Linked DNA regions of Danio rerio. The protein of the gene in region 2 interacts with the protein of the main gene of each other region in a pairwise test. Links are inferred from orthologs where the notes say so. Each region holds a gene or a part of one and is shown on either strand. Other genes may lie near its edges.

Evidence for each region.
Region 1: the proteins of bccip (region 2) and rpl23 interact in binary tests that used the Homo sapiens proteins (3 or more experiments, as listed by UniProt). The link is inferred for Danio rerio from reciprocal best matches to the Homo sapiens genes BCCIP and RPL23.

The regions. Positions count from the first base shown.
Region 1 is NC_133178.1:32,233,304-32,237,280, forward strand, and holds the start of rpl23 (large ribosomal subunit protein uL14), read right to left. Parts: upstream 2,801-3,977; 5' UTR 2,785-2,800; coding exon 2,772-2,784; intron 1,781-2,771; coding exon 1,697-1,780; intron 832-1,696; coding exon 703-831; intron 1-702.
Region 2 is NC_133187.1:47,448,984-47,453,081, forward strand, and holds the start of bccip (protein BCCIP homolog), read right to left. Parts: upstream 2,801-4,098; 5' UTR 2,739-2,800; coding exon 2,607-2,738; intron 2,488-2,606; coding exon 2,413-2,487; intron 2,326-2,412; coding exon 2,245-2,325; intron 1,076-2,244; coding exon 986-1,075; intron 678-985; coding exon 490-677; exon of another isoform or gene 241-489; intron 128-240; exon of another isoform or gene 1-127. UniProt on the Homo sapiens protein: During interphase, required for microtubule organizing and anchoring activities. During mitosis, required for the organization and stabilization of the spindle pole.

The sequences.
Region 1 (3,977 bases), on a different chromosome or scaffold from region 2:
TAACTAAAAAATTATTTATTTATATATATATATATATATATATATATATATATATATATATATATATATATATATATATATATATATATATATATAAAAAAAAAGTTATCAATAAACGTTGGTAAAATTAAATAAATTTTTTTTGTTTTCTCCTGAATTTAATTCAAACTGTACTTTGTAATAAATTGTAATAACTTAAATTTAGATGCATTCTGTATAGTTCTAAAGATGTTTGTGACCAAGCCCTTTAATGGACATAATGGATTGATAAAACCGGTTCAAAATGCACAAAAATAGTTATATTCTGGTGATACAAATAAAAATATTAATTGTCAAAATGTTGTACGCAATTATGCGGTGCACTGCATAGGCTATAGATTTATCATAGTCATTACAACTGAGTAATAACTAGGTATTATCCTTAAACCTACCCATGAATCTAACCTTACCTCCCATAGTTACCTCAAATAATAAAGTATGTTCTTATGAAAGAACTCCAGTAAAACATACTGTAAAGTGCAACTTAAAAAGATTGAGCTTCCCTTTTGTCATTTACGTAGTCAAACCTTTACCAGTTTATTAAATTTTGAACTTGTCTTAACTTCACATTCACTGCACAACACTTCTCGTGTGGTGTATGACTGTCTAATGCTAGCCTTTCACTTAACATCTATAATAAAGCCCAATTGTGAAAGCACTCACCCTTTTTCCTGAGCTCTGGCTTGCCTTTCTTCACTGTGGCCATAACCATGTCACCCACACCGGCGGAAGGCAGCCTGTTCAGACGACCCTTGATGCCTTTGACGGAAATGATGTACAGGTTCTTGGCACCTAAGTGAGAGAAAAGGCAGAGTTGAGTAAATGAACTTGTAATTGGCATATTCAATGCCGTTGAGCTAAGTTCAGCATGTCTGCTGACCCTCAGCTGATTGGAAATAAGAAAAAGCAAAGATTTGTTCCATCACGGATTGAGATTAAACAGCATGTGGAGACTGCCATCTCACCCAAGAGTAATGGGGTTCACTTTTTCCTTCCACGACAACTCACCCAGCCACTGAGCAGACGAAGCAAGTGCTTTTAAGAAGGACAAGAAGCTCAAATAATTTACAGACTGAAACCAGATTGAACTGCAAAACTTAAAGTAATTGGCCTTAAGTAATCTTCCGAACTGCTGCTTCAACAGCACTTCAATGTTATGCTAGAAACTATACACAAGACAAGCATTCACACCAGCTCTTGTAAAAATTAAAGTTTAAATTAAAATAGTCAAAGCAATACAAATGTTACTGTTGGACTAAATGTACTTCAATTAACTTAAAGGATTTTTTAAGCTGAAGTTTCAACAATTTTTTAATAAGAACTTGAAGGCCAATTCAGACTACAACAGACCATTTTAGTTGACCAATGACTTCTGCAAGAACGTTCTGAATTTGGTTCCTGTTTAATCAGGTAATGTCTGAAAAGTGACATGCTGTGACATGGTGACCATCCATGTTTGTTTAGGTCTCAAACATCCGTCACTGTGGTTTGAACTGTCCAAGTTAAGTTATGAAATGTTCATGCCTTGGTTTCTAACAATTTCAAACCATTAAAAATATGAGTTTAAGAAGAAATATAAACCAAGCAATACTTAGAAAAATGAAAATCTGGAATAAATTATTTCAGTTGGTCTCATCAACGAAGGCAAGTTTCTTACCTGTGTTGTCAGCGCAGTTGATGACCGCTCCCACTGGGAGACCCAGTGAGATGCGGAACTTGGCTCCCGATGACCCACCACGTCCTAAACAGGAGGACCAAAATTAATAAAATTCACAAAAACAGCAAAACCACCAAAATACAGACTAGGTTTAAATTTTAGATAATACATGAATAGCACACTGGCTAAATTAACCTGACTCCATAAATCTATCAAAACACTTGATGTTTTGATTTTGCATATCTACAACAAAAACTTGCCAAAGTAGCAACAATTCATTCATTCACTTCCAATTATGAAATAAAACATTGAAAAAAAAAAAAAACAATTGAAACTGTCAACACCAGTAACTATAGATGCATTAAAAGTTAAATGAAAACGAATGAAGACAACTTATTCTGCCTAGACTTGTCAACTTGATAAATTAAATGACACAAGCTTTGAACTTGTGCAGAATAATGTCTGGTACGGAATTATTTCCCTAACTTACACCTTTAAGTGTGTACCTGTCGATACAGTTGCAAGTGAACAGACGTTTGCTGCCGGACAAGCTTGACTCCACACAACACAAACGCAATATTTACGATGACAACATTTCAAGGAGAATTTCTGGTGTGGAAGCCCGTTGTGCACTGGTTTAATAGTGCACGTTTACACGTTAGCCTGACATACAATCGTGCGACTACACTTTCCACCATTCAGACGAGCGTCTACCGGTTTCACCGCATATTGTAGAATTAACTACTCACAAATGCTGCTCTTCACTGATTTTAAATGGCTGCTATCATAAAGCTCTACTCCAAAACTTGCTTACGAACAAAACGGTTCAAATATGAAGAGTTCCAACATCCCACCACTGGCTCCACGAGCTTCACTCTGCGTACTTAGCAAACATGGCTTCTCTTGCTAGCGGAAAGTGTACATTTCTGTTTTAATCCAAGTTAAAATTCAGAATTGACATCAATATGGGTGAAATACACATCCTCCATGATCATATAAACCTGTGCTTTACTTTAGGGGGCTTAAATGCTCCTCATTTTAAGGATGATTGCGGATTTTCATGTGTGTTTCTTACCTCTCTTAGACATAGTCGCTGAAAGGGAAAGAGGAAGAGACAGAAAGGAATGATGGGATATAAGCGTGCGCGCACCACAGACTTCACAGCTTCCGGCGTCACGTCATCGTCATAACTAAAGCATCGCCATCTAGTGTGTCGTATGTATGACTTGATTCACTTCAGCATCTCATGGTAATATTACAAAACTAGAATTTTCTAAAAGTGCCAAACTCAGTTCCTGGAGGACTGCAGCTCTGCGCAGTCTAGATCCAACCCTGCTTTGTTTGGTACACTTACCTGGGGGTTTAAAGCAAGTCTGAAGGACTTAATTAGTTTGATCAGGTGTGTTTAATTAGGGTTAAAGTTGAACTGTGCAAATCTGCAGCTATGGAGTCAATATAGGGCCATATATATATATATATATATATATATATATATATATATATATATATATATATATATATATATATATATATATATATATATATATATATATATATATATATATAAAGTGCAAAGGGAAAGTACATTTTTGAGAAATAAAAATTTGGTTTGTTAACTGCAAAGGGAAAAATTCAATTATTGCATATATATTGACTACATAGCAGCCCTCCAGAAACTGTTTGACACCTGTGAATCCAAATAAAGGAATACATATTGATCAGTAATCAATAAAATTATTTTTCATATTCCATAGTGTGGTATGTATTGTATTTAAAAAATAAATAAATAAATATATATATATATATATATATATATATATATATATATATATATATATATATATATATATATATATATATATATATATATATATATATATATATTAAATGCCAATCATGACATTCCAACGTATGTTATTCCCAGACAACAACCACTGAAAATGTATAAATGTATATATGTGCGTGTTGAATGTACTGTATGTATGTGTGTGTGTGTGTGTGTGTGTGTGTGTGTGTGTGTGTGTGTGTGTTTACTGTTATTGACTGCTTGGCACCTTTTGGTGACTAAATCTTAAGAGCTGTTTGTTGAAAAAAAAAAAGAGTAAACTTTTAGTGAACTTTACAATTAGTTAAATAACCAGTAAAATTTTACAGCTCAGATCAATATTATGTATCTAATTGTTTACTTTTGTGGCATTCAGCTGTATAGGCTGGACAATGTACATGCCTCCAGTTGTTTTCACAGAATATAATAATGTTAGAATAATGAGAAAGGGAAAAC
Region 2 (4,098 bases):
TTGATTACAGCGATATGATTGGCTGACGCTTTCGTCGGCGCTTGAAAAGTTGAGCTAGTCCCAACTTCTGCAGCGAGCAGCACCTCGGAAGTGGCGCCGACAGATCCACAATGCAATTCGGCAACGCCTGACGTCACCCATTCAAAGTGATTAGGAAGCATTGACACTGACGCTCCGTGTGAATGGGGCGTAAAGGTATTGAAACTGACACCGTTGCGATTTTTAGATCCTGTGGTATACCATATTACGTAGTGTATGAGGGTGACAGGCCGGCCGGAATGTGTAAAAAAAAAAAAAAAAGTCGTTATCATATGGACTTGTTCCAAAGAGCCGACCCCGCAACCATACGGGACTAAGGCCAAAGAAGAAGATATACATATATATATACACTTTTGAAATCATAAAATATATCAAACTAAAATGAAATCTGCACTGATATGTGGTAATAGTGAAGCAGGTGTGTGCGCTCCCTCTATTGGGAACTCTTACTGCAGTTGTTTGTGCAGGGGCAGAGCGATCTGCGGCGGGACGTTGACGAATCTCTCGCTCAGCAGGAGCCCTACAGACTGAGTGTTACCCTGCAGGAGATTCTCCATCCGCTCCTGCACATCCGGAGTGCTGCACTTCACACACTGATCCAGTATCATGTCCTTCAGCTTCTCCAGACACTCCACACCCTGATAAACAAACAATAATAATCACACTTTAAGCCAAATGTCAAATTTTCCAAGATACTCACCAATTAAAAAACTGAATTTGCATGACCTTTTATATTCCACATGCTTTAATATGTTCAAATAACTTAATATTAACTTTGTTTTAGCTTGAATATCATTTTGCATGACTTTAACAGCCACTACACTGTGAAATGCGAAATACTCATGCAAAATATGATATTCTAAAAACTCCAGTGGGATTGTTGTAACTCAGATCAATCCTACAGAAAGTAGAGTGTGTGTGTGTGTGTGTGTTATGATTGTCTGACCTGTCTCTCGGTGAGGTTCACCATACTGATGAAGCCAAACACCTCGTCCGGGTCGCCCTCATCATCACTGTCCTCCGGTACTTCAGCTTGCTGGAGCAAAACACACACATAAACTATAATACAGCAATATCAGAGCAGAACTACAGATGTTCATTATTACTGTTAGTGAATATTATACAAATGAGTTTTAAATATATTAAACATTTACAGTAGAGCTGCACGGTATATTGCTCAACATCAATATTCAGTGTTGCCAGATTGGGCGGTTTTGAAAACTGCTATTTAGAAATAATTTATTAGTTTAGAATATGTGAAATGATTCTGTAGGGAAGTGAATTATCCATAAAAATGTCAAAAAATAAATTAAAAGTAAAAATAAAAGTGAAATAAACTGTTTTAGGGATTTCAGGGAGTGTTCAGGTTCATAATTTCAATAATCAAATGTTACAAATGCTAAATTTTCTTTGCCTGAATACTTTGAACACTGTCAGGCCCAGGGGCGGACTGGCCATCTGGCAATTCTGGCAAATGCCAGAAGGGCTGGACCAATTTTTAAATGTGGGTCGTTCAGTTTTTATTTAAATGTATTGTTTTTACGTGGAGGCAGCTTTTATCTCTTGCTAGATGTGATATTATGATGATGATGTTAATAATTATAATAATAATAAATGTTAAGCATTTGGACCAATTATGACGGCCGCCTGATTTCAAGATGGGCTGACCCAATCCGAGGTTACCCGGACGCAATCAAAATATGGCAAGAATGTCATTATTTCACCATCTGTACATCAAAATAAATAGTGAATGTGCGTGTCCGTGGGTGGGGCTATGCTGGTGTGGTAATGTGGGCTGATGTGGCTACAGTGCCAGGGCTGAATTTTTGTCCCAGTCCGCCCCTGGTCAGGCCTTAAAAACAGATGCAAATAGTAAACCTTTACTACATTATAGTGAACATGCTTGTTAAAAAATGTATGTAGTGAATATACAAAGTACATATTTTCTCTAGTAAGATGTATTATTTGTGTTTATATAAATATGTTTGATCATTTTAATCCCTTTTTCCCCATTTACAACTTCTGTTTGTTCCATTACTATTTTATTTTTCCGTTATTTACATTATTGTACCTACTTCTTTTCTTTTTGGCTCTTAATTTAAAAAGTACGCTACATGGACATAAAATAAATCTAAACTGAATGAAATACACAGTTATGACCAGTAAAATTTAAGCTATTTTGGGGGGTAAATGAAAGTGTATTACCCTGATGACACTGCCGATGTGGTTCTGCTGGATGATGATGTCAGTGAGGTCAGAAGTGTTCACGTGACACTTCAGAAACAGCTGCAAAACAACAACACACATTTATGTCTGCATTCATAAATTAACACTCATATAATCACCACATAATCTGCAATAAACCGACGTTACCTGTTGAAGAAGGGTTTTGATGCCGTGAAAGTCGTTGTCAGAGATCGTGTGTGCTTCGAAGTCCACAATAACCTCCTAAATGCAGACCAAAACACGTGTGTTGGTCATAAAACAACGTGTTTTTCAGACAGAGCCAGCATGGCCTGCACATCACGACATTTCTGCTCGCAAAAACAGTTCGGATAGGAACTTACCTCGTTTACTTCTTCTTCTGAATTTTCGCTGTCGTCGTCGCCAGAGTCTTCCAGACCCTCGTCCGAGCTTTCGTCGCTGTCTTGTGGATTTTGTCCAGTTTCAACAGCACGCCTTTTGGCAGATGAAGCCATGCTGCTTCACTAGTGTACAGGAAACAGACACGAGCTCGCGCACGGCGACGTTTTGTGTCGTCTACATGCTAGGAAACTGAGGAGTCTAATCGGACATTTTGGCTCATTGTAGACACAAAGTCGCGGGCGCAAACACGCCATACTCAAGATCCAAAATGGCGTCTTTTCCAGCTCACGATCTTAAGAAGCAGAAGATACCATATTTTTTTACAGAGGGGTGCTGCATGAAAATGATTTATTACTTTTGAATAAACAATTGTATTGATTTAAGTGCCAGATAGTAATTTTGGTTAATAAAGAAAGATAAATATTGTCGTGATGTTGGAGTTACTTCAGAAATGAATTATATATTACGTAATTTTCAAAACAAACGTCGATGGTACCTGTTAGAACAAACCTTCGATGAAATAAATAAGTTTCTCTCTTACTTAAGTTTTTGTCTTACAAGTCAAGATAATATATTCCACTAGTAACTTTAATGCGTCTACCTATTAGTCTATTCGTTATCGGCCTATCTGTCCATTCATTCATTCATTCATTCATTCATTCATTCATTCATTCATTCATTCATTCATTCATTCATTCATTCGTTCGTTCGTTCGTTCGTTCGTTCGTTCGTTCGTTCATTCATTCATTCATTCATTCATTCATTCATCCATTTCTTGCCTGGTGAAAGGGGTGGTTCTTTTTTTCTTTTTTTTGCAGTTATACGCCTCAGTTTCTATTTAACTATAAGATTTAAATACTGCATTTTAGTGATTTTTTTTTTGTTGTTGTTGCTGGATTAGCTAGTCAGATGTCATCATAACCACACTTTTTGATGTACAAAAAATATTTCATAAAAACTTGCTATAAAGAAAAAATAAAACAAGACTAATTATTAAAATACAAATTTATTACATCATATATCATTAGAAAAAAATAGCAATCTGTTAAAGTTTTAAAGTAAAAAAAAACTGCAGCCTACTGTCATTTATTAGACAAAAACAAACTGGCCAGCACATTTAACTTTTCTGTCACAATTTGGCCATTTCAATAAAAAAAAATTAAACATAATAATAATAAAAATAATAATAATAATAATAAAAATAATAATACAATAATAATGAATTCTTTCCCAGAGATGGGTTGCGGCTGGAAGGGCATCCGCTGTGTAAAACCTTGCTGGATAAGTTGGCGGTTCACTCCGCTGTGGCGATCCCGGATTAATAAAGGGACTAAGCCGACAAGAAAATGAATGAATGAATGAATAATATACTTTTTACCAGTTTATATTTGGCAACATTTTAGTTTAGGTCACAATTCACAGTATTAAAAAACACTGAAACTAACACTACTAGCTTAATAAACCAACTAGCTG